Schizosaccharomyces pombe: one gene and its partner. Each later gene encodes a partner of the first gene's protein in a complex. Each region holds a gene or a part of one and is shown on either strand. Other genes may lie near its edges. The genes, in order: mtr3 and rrp42.

Evidence for each region.
Region 2: mtr3 (region 1) and rrp42 share a complex: the UniProt entries of both Schizosaccharomyces pombe proteins name them as parts of the RNA exosome complex.

Annotation. Positions count from the first base shown.
Region 1 is NC_003423.3:3,886,161-3,889,952, reverse strand, and holds mtr3 (exosome complex component mtr3), read left to right. Parts: upstream 1-1,635; 5' UTR 1,636-1,674; coding exon 1,675-1,789; exon of another isoform or gene 1,790-1,827; coding exon 1,828-2,486; 3' UTR 2,487-3,048; downstream 3,049-3,792. Other genes in the region: uba1 (ubiquitin-activating enzyme E1), read right to left, coding at 1-1,020, 1,129-1,193, 1,252-1,257; ubiquitin conjugating enzyme Ubc8, read left to right, coding at 3,387-3,792. UniProt on the Schizosaccharomyces pombe protein: Non-catalytic component of the RNA exosome complex which has 3'->5' exoribonuclease activity and participates in a multitude of cellular RNA processing and degradation events.
Region 2 is NC_003423.3:4,230,149-4,234,714, forward strand, and holds rrp42 (exosome subunit Rrp42), read left to right. Parts: upstream 1-1,792; 5' UTR 1,793-1,804; coding exon 1,805-2,052; exon of another isoform or gene 2,053-2,118; intron 2,119-2,149; coding exon 2,150-2,801; 3' UTR 2,802-3,048; coding exon of another isoform or gene 3,049-3,636; 3' UTR 3,637-3,786; coding exon of another isoform or gene 3,787-3,831; 3' UTR 3,832-3,932; downstream 3,933-4,566. Other genes in the region: kex1 (serine carboxypeptidase), read left to right, coding at 1-315; BAG family molecular chaperone regulator Bag101, read right to left, coding at 3,049-3,636; top3 (DNA topoisomerase III), read right to left, coding at 3,787-3,831, 3,933-4,566. UniProt on the Schizosaccharomyces pombe protein: Non-catalytic component of the RNA exosome complex which has 3'->5' exoribonuclease activity and participates in a multitude of cellular RNA processing and degradation events.

The DNA of each region.
Region 1 (3,792 bases):
GCACCGCCCAAAAACGCGGACATTGCAACCAAATCACCTCTTGCCTGGTATGAAATTTCCTTAATTAGTTTTTCATCGAGTTCAACATCAAATTGAAGTGTGCTTGCAATTTTCTTACAAAATTCGAAAAATTCAGCTGCATCAATGTCGTTACGGGGTCGAGGCAATGAACCTTCATGCGCATCGGCAAATGCTGAAAGGGCCTGGAAAGCAATGTGGTATTGTGGAGGTCTCATCATTTTACCAAAGTCAGGATATACATATTCAGGGTCCTTGAGCGATTCGCGGAGAGATTTGAAAGATATTTTGGTTGGAACTTTAACTTGGGTAAAGACACCATTGTAACCGGCACTTCCTAAATCTTTAACAGATCCGATAGAAAAGGTATATGGACCTTTCACTTCAACTTTACGAGGAGTGCCATCATTTAAACCAGGCATACCCTTCACTTCGGTAAATTTAACAAAATCACCATTCTCCAATCCATGACGAGTTTCTTCAAGCATGGTAACAACTCCATCATCAGTAATTGAAGCGATCATTCCAGTTAAAGGTTCATTTCCATCAGTGTCAGTACAAATAAAGTTCTCACCAAAATCACAAAATATCGATCCAAAAAGACCACGGCTGTCAGCAGCAATATAAGCAATATGGTTTTTGTGTGTAAAGTCGTTAATTTCTAGCTGTTTCGTAAGAGAAGTTTCTGTGACAACCACGCATTTGAAGTTTTTTAGATACTCTGTTGAAAGTTCATCAACTACAGAAACAGGCACATATTGATTAAGCTCTGCTAACTTTGATACCGTTACTTTTGCACGAGGAACACCAATATCGTCTTCTGTAAGAAAATATTGTGATGATAAGTCCTCAATGCGTGTAGGTTGAGGATCGTAAAGAGTAACGCTTTTTACACCTGCTAGACAAACGTTCTTTGCTATTTCAACGCCTAAACCTTTGCAGCCAATGATTAAGACATTCGACTGACTCATTTGTTTCATAGCCTCATGGCCTAAAACATAACTTTAGATAAATTAGCAAGCGCTCAGTACAAGAAAGAATATAAAAACATAAAGCTAAACCAAATCAACACCGGTAATAATGACTCTTCATGTTTCTAATAAAACTTACAGTTGTCTAGAGTAAAGCCCTTCATCGATAGTATTTTGATCCGTTTGATCAATGTTCATGTTATTCTTTTGCAATGTTAGTAAGAAGCGAAAAATACTTGAATCATTTAAACAAATTACATACACTCATTACGAAACGTGGTGTTGGCAGAGGAGAGTCATACGTAGGCTATAATATAGTGTTTTTATATGTTCAAATAGCGAGCTCTTTCGTTACACATGCTTAACAATTTATTACTCATTAAATTTAAGAGCGCGCACTTGAAGTATGCTGGCTGGATAAAAAAAAATTTTGCACCATTATTCTAAAAGCATTTTTATTTTCCAGCTTACTGATTGAAACGCTTAGTCATTACAAAAATCTTTTAGATGCGATAAAATTGCTTTCTATATGTCATATATACACCGAATCAAACAATATCGTTATATATATTAAGGCATGCAAACGCGTCATCCCAAAACGCGAAGCCACCACTGAAAATCCAGGCTGCTTCTGTATTGTTTTCTTAACGGTACATCAAGGTTAAAACAAATACTCTATAAATCGATGTCAGATAGAAAGAGAGTGTATGGACCGAGTGTATCCGTTCCCCCTTATTTTGAAGAGCCAGAACAACCTGTTTTCACGCGGACTCGTGATGTTGACAGATGTCGAAAAATATGTAAGATACCGATTATTAACATTTTCACTGACAATTAGATCTAAAATTAGGGTGGGCTACTAAAGCTGTCGGTAGCAGTTATTTTGAATCAGAAAAAATAAAAATTGCATGCACAGTCTCTGGTCCTCGACCTAGTAAGACTTTTGCTTTTCGTTCATCAGCAAAGTTGAATTGTGAATTTAGATTATCCCCATTTTCTACTTCTGTTCGTCAGGGACATGTACAAACCGTCGAAGAAAAAAGCTATTCCCAAATGATTGAAGCAGCAATTTCTCCAAGTATATTACTGCATTTGTATCCGAAAAGTTCTATAGACGTTTATATTCAAGTGATTGAAAGTGACGGTGCATTAGCAACATTGGCTGCTGCTATAAGTTGCGCATCAAGTGCAATAGCTGATGCTAACATCGACTGCATAGATTTGGTGACGGGCTCGAGTGTATTATTTAATCCCAATACGGATGAATATTGGATTGATCCTGATTATGTGGATGAGCGTGCAAGGGCTGCTAAAGGTTCTGTAGTTATGGGGTACATGGCTTCTCTTGGTCACGTTACTCAAGTATGGGAAAGAGGCACTTGCTCTCCGAGTCGCCTTTCGTTTTTGACGGAAAAATGCATAAAGAATGCCAAAGATACTCGGTTAGTAATTAATCATGCACTGCTACTAGAGAAGTCGAAATCCGAAGATCCTTAGATATTGGAATTCTACCTCTATAATAATATTCTGTTGATGGCTAATATTTATACCAATTTTACAAATTACATAATCAAATTTATTTCTTTTTAAAATTCTCTTCTATTAGTTGGCAATGCTCAAGTTTTGCCTTTTTTTCCTTAACACACATTTGAAGGGAGACGCTATCTTTTCTCGACAAACAAGCAGATGACTTCCCTAAGTAGATTTTCTTCTTTGAAATCAGCTTGGCCATCCGCAAGTTACGTTTGTTATGAAAAATACGAGTAAATATTAAATTAAAGATCTTAGTTTTTATCACTCGCGAATATATTCAGTAGCCAAACGATTAACTCTTTCCAATTTTTTCCAGTCTATTTATCGATTCCAATAGAACAAAACAAATGCTGAGATTTTATTAATACATATATTTGATACTAATTTATCAAGCTGCATTGAGACGAAAGCATCTTGGTAGTACTAGAATCATTGTTACTCACATACTGTTACCTGCTTCTTATAACCTCCAAATCAGCGAAATTCCGCGTCTTCATCATAGCCAAACTTATGCTCAATTGCCTCGTTTGTAAATTAAAATATATTTAACAATAAGAAGGACGATAAAGAGGGGATTCTTCTATACAATAAAATTGCTTTCATTTAAATTAGGTCATTGATGATTATTAGTTGTTGCTTTTAAAAATTTGATATATTCACGGACAATAGGATAGAACCATTTAAAACGGAAGCTAAGAATCTTTCCAAAAGTCCAAAATAATTTGATTTTATTGAAAATTACTCGAAAACTGCTGAATTTGCGAATTTGCCTTTATTGCAGCAAATTACCGTATTTGAATACTACACTAGCTTAAAATTATTGAGTTCTTTTTTAGTTTTGAAATAAAACTATAAAAAATCAAAATGTCGAGCCCAAGGCGCAGAATTGAGACGGACGTTATGAAGCTGCTGATGAGTGATTACGAGGTAACTCTTGTCAATGATAATATGCAAGAATTTTACGTTAGGTTCCATGGACCGTCTGAAACCCCTTACTCAGGTGGAATATGGAAAGTTCATGTTGAACTGCCAAGTGAGTATCCTTGGAAATCTCCAAGTATTGGATTTGTAAATCGTATATTTCATCCCAATATCGATGAGCTTAGTGGAAGTGTTTGCTTGGACGTGATAAATCAAACTTGGTCTCCAATGTTTGATATGATTAATATTTTTGAGGTTTTTCTTCCACAGCTACTCCGTTATCCTAATGCGTCGGACCCTCTAAATGGAGAGGCAGCAGCTCTATTATTGCGAGAGCCGAATACCTACT
Region 2 (4,566 bases), 340 kb from region 1:
CCATCGGGCTCCTATGTTAGTTCCCGGAACCTGACCTTTGCTCGCATAGTTGAAGCTAGTCACATGGTTCCATACGATCATCCTAATGAAATGAAGACCTTGATTACTGCTTTCTTTAATAATGACTTTGCCAGCTTACCATCGGTACCTAAACCCTCTCCGGATTTAGGTAATGGAAACTACAAATGGCTTTATTTGGGTTTGATTCCTGTTGCTTTAACTATCATTATTTTATTCTCAATTTATTTGTGCAGGAGATTTGGATTATTTGGTCTTAGCAAACAACGCTACCAACCTATATCTCCAACTCCTTAGACTGTATATAAATCTTTTCTGTCGGTTTTTACTTTCACATACAGATTTTCTGCTCTTTATTTTAATCATTTAACTTTTAATCTTGCTTTATCGGTGGTAGAATTTATTTTTTTATCTTGGAACGTTCTTCCCTGGTTTTAAAAAATCTGCGATTATCACCATAAATTTTATCTCTCATCTTTAATCAAATTTCACTTATGGATACATTCTTTGAATTTTTATTTTTGCACATAGTCTCTAAATGATCTCAAATCATGAATATGAAATATCATGTACCAAACATTGTCTTATAGCTATTGTTTGTTCTACAGTTTTTGTAGTTTTTTTATAGGACAGATTAGCGTCAAACGCTAATCTCAATAACGTGTTTGCAATAGTACAGTATATCATGGAGAACTACGTCTTGTAACATGTGTCACAAATGTATAAATACTAGTGAGATCTGTCTGTTTATATTGACAATCCGTTACATCCCTTAATAATCGATTATTATAAATAATTTATAATCGAATCACGTTCCTAAATTCAGTTAGAAGCTATAGCAATGGGAGGATTCTATCACATCTACGCATGAGAACAAAGGAGAACTGCAAGCTAATAACAGATCTACTGTAATCATATTTGACAATCCAAAATCGACGCACGTTATCAGGGACACAATTGATGCGTTTGGTAAATTTTACAGACAGCCTTAACTAAATAGGTCTAGGCAACGAGTGAACTAGCTCTATATCAAAGAAGAAATTGGATAGTTTTATTTCGATGACAACGTCTTTAAATCCATGATCCAATAGGCCCAACTTGCTTGTGGATGGATACTTACAGATGGCACGCTATCGAACAGAACACCAGATATGATCTTATTGCTACTCGGCCAAATTGCATCAAAGTGGTAAATAATATTTCAGCGTAGGTTTTGCATCCAAAATTTTGAAGGAATAGGTTATAATGAAGCACCAACTGCCCAAGCATTTTCAACTGATGTAAACTTGCGAAATTTTTAGAGAATGCGCCTTTTCTGCTGTGTCAATAAACAAGTCTTAGCTAATAAAAAAACATGTCGCAGTAGTACTGACAACGCTATAATTTACTACGTTGTGTATCACATTTGGAACATGTTCTATTTAAACATAGCCTCGTAGATGATAGATATTGGGGCAAATCATTTGATATCTGAAACAAATATTTAGTTTATATGTTCAACAATTTAAATAGGAAACTAAATTTCGTTCCTCACTTTAGTCAGAAGCTAATAACAGAAATAGATCATAAATAATACCTACATATACCAATATTTTCAATGACTCATAGCCGTTATACCTATGTATTATAATATAACAGATCACATGTAAAACTTATCGCGGTTTTGCATATCGTTAAACAGATACAAAACTGCGTAGCATACATAACGAACTTTAGAATATACGCAAGAACTCAACGCAATATTGCAAGGAAAATTATTCTTAAACGATATACCATTAGCCAACATATGCAATTGTCATTACCAGAACTATCGTACACACACAAATCAATAACAGAATTTGAGCCTGCAATTCGGAATGATGGACGTTCGATAGACCAGCTTCGTCCGCTTTCTGGACAAGTAGATGTTCTGCCTGGTACAAATGGTTCTGCTAGAGTTAAATGGGCGTCTTCGGTGGAGATAGTCATAGGTGTAAAAGCAGAAGTGGGTGATGCTACTCCCGAAGGTGGTAAATATGTCGCTTCAGTTGAAATGTACGTGAGATATTTGGAGTTCGTATTAACATTGTTTGGCGTAACAAACAATATGAATCAATTGAAAAAAGCTGGTATGCTAACACTTTTTATGTAGTTCTCCATCTGTTTCAATCCAGAATCGTGAAACCGATGAAATTCCTTCATTCCTTACAAGTGCCCTTCAGGATTTATTAAACGCACTTGCTGTCGACTATTTGAAATTTACACCATCTAAAGCTTGGATTATTCACGTAGATGCTGTTGTAATACTTTCTTCGTCTCCTTACGAAAACATTCTTTCAGCTTTAAGTCTTGCTGCTTATTTAGCATTACAGACTACACGTTTACCTAAAATTTCTACCCCCAATGTCACAGACATCACTATTGGATCTACTAAATATGAGCCTTCCGAAGAATACGATGTTGATTCAGAATGGGAAAATGCATTACCTTTGCAAGGGTTAGAATTAATGTCAGTCATAATTTTGGTTAGTAGCATTGATCAAGTGATAATTGTTGATCCTACAATTGAGGAATCAAGTGTCGCTCAAGTGACATATGCGATTGGTGTTCAAGCTAGTGGTGCTATTAGCTATACCAGGGTCGTGGGTACTGGAGGAGGCTACGCATCCACTGGACGTGCAATAACTGTAGAGCGATATATAGAATTGTTAGAGACTGCGTCTACCGTTGGTACTAAGCTTTTGAACGCCAGCAGCGATATTCTATCTTTTAAGGGTTTAGGATTTTTTGATATTCTTCCATAAATGAATTGGGTTGGGTTGGTCTCCATTTCCTATATAATAGCATCTTTCTCTCTATATATATATATAAATGCAATACTTGGGTTACGGAATCAGGATCAATTTTGTTACATGAAGAGGCATGCATCGGTATTTTTGGTTACTATGGTTGGTCATTGTATTTCGTTTAGGTCAAAGTCATATAGCAAGTATAGTAGATGGGAATAATTTAAGGGAAATGAAATGGTAACGTCTATAAAAATAATAAAGCCTATGCGGCCACTTCTTGGCTTGTTTGGTCAACGTGATCCAACATTTTTTGGATCTTAGAAACAAGTTGCTTCCGTTCAAAACGCAATTTCTCGCTGCCCAGTACGTCAACTCCATCCAATTTTAAAAGCTGTTGTAAAAGTAGTTCACTTATCATTAGTTTCTGTTTGTTTTTCTGCTTTGGATCGTTCGACGGTTTATTTACGTAATTGTCGTACATGGGGGAAAGTTCTTTGTCAACATACTGATCGATGGCTTTTATTTCTCCAGAAATACGCGAAAATACAGGATTCTCCGCTTCCGCTTTCGGAGCGGGCTCAACCGTGTCTTTTTCCTTGGAACCTCGTTGTTGCTTATGTGGTCTTATACATAGAATTTTACTATGATTTTTTAAACCCAATTTTGATAACGAGGCTTTTTTGTCTTTTAAACGCTTGCCAGCGTAAAAAAGCTTGACTTTCTTCTCAGAAATCTCAGTCGTTTCAAGTAAATCATCAATCAGTTCACTTAACGTCTCATTTAGATTGACTGCTACCGGAAATCGCTGATTTCCATAGTGTATTGTAACTGTGCTAGTCTTTTCTGACATTGACGATATTAAGTCGACTTGCTTAACGGATCCAACTCAAGATGTTTTATGTTTTTAAGGCTGATGCTATCCAAAAAAATGAAGGTCTTAATGCGACGCTTAAAAACGAAAGGTAATAAGTTAATAAAAGTATACGAGCGGTCTGGTTATCTAGGTTTGCGGTTCATTATGACTCATAAGGTAGACTCTGCAACTCTGCGTTATATTTGTTAGCAACCATAAAATGAAAAGATTAATAAATAAAGTATGGGATTTTGAAAATTGGAAAAGTAGGAAACAATGATAATTTGACTTACATTTTTTAAACAATCGAATCTTTGCTTTGTGAGATGAAAAACATCACGGAATTGGGTAAGGATCATATGAACTAGAACATTCCGATTAAGTTGGCCATTTTCTATGTTTTTAAGTTGAACTTCCATTTCTTTTCGCAAGAAAGGCTTGGTCAAACTCCACTCTAAACCAATTTCATCATAGCCTTTTGCCAAAGCAACTCCTAAAGAGCTTGGTACAAATTCAGTTACACCTTGGCCCCTTTTTTTTCGTTTTATGACATATTCTCTCTCCTGAACTTTTTCGATGTGCTCTGCCATAGTAGCATCTGTCCCGATTCCATTGGCATCCATCAAGGCAATTAACTCCGGTTCAGTGATATAGGAAGGGGAGGACGTTGAACTGTCCATCATGTCGAGAATGTGGGGTTGGAATTCCTCGTGAAGTCTATACTCTGGTAATTGATCCGAACTTTCCCATTTCTCATATGGATAAACCTCTAAATAATTTTTCTCTGTCACTAGCAATCCCTTTTTAGAAAAAAGCTCTTCTTCCATTTTAACCTGCACCAACGTTTCGGCTCCTTTGGCATTGTCAGAACAACAAGCTAAAAATCTTCTTGTAATTAGCTCATATACTTTCCAATGATCTTGGGAA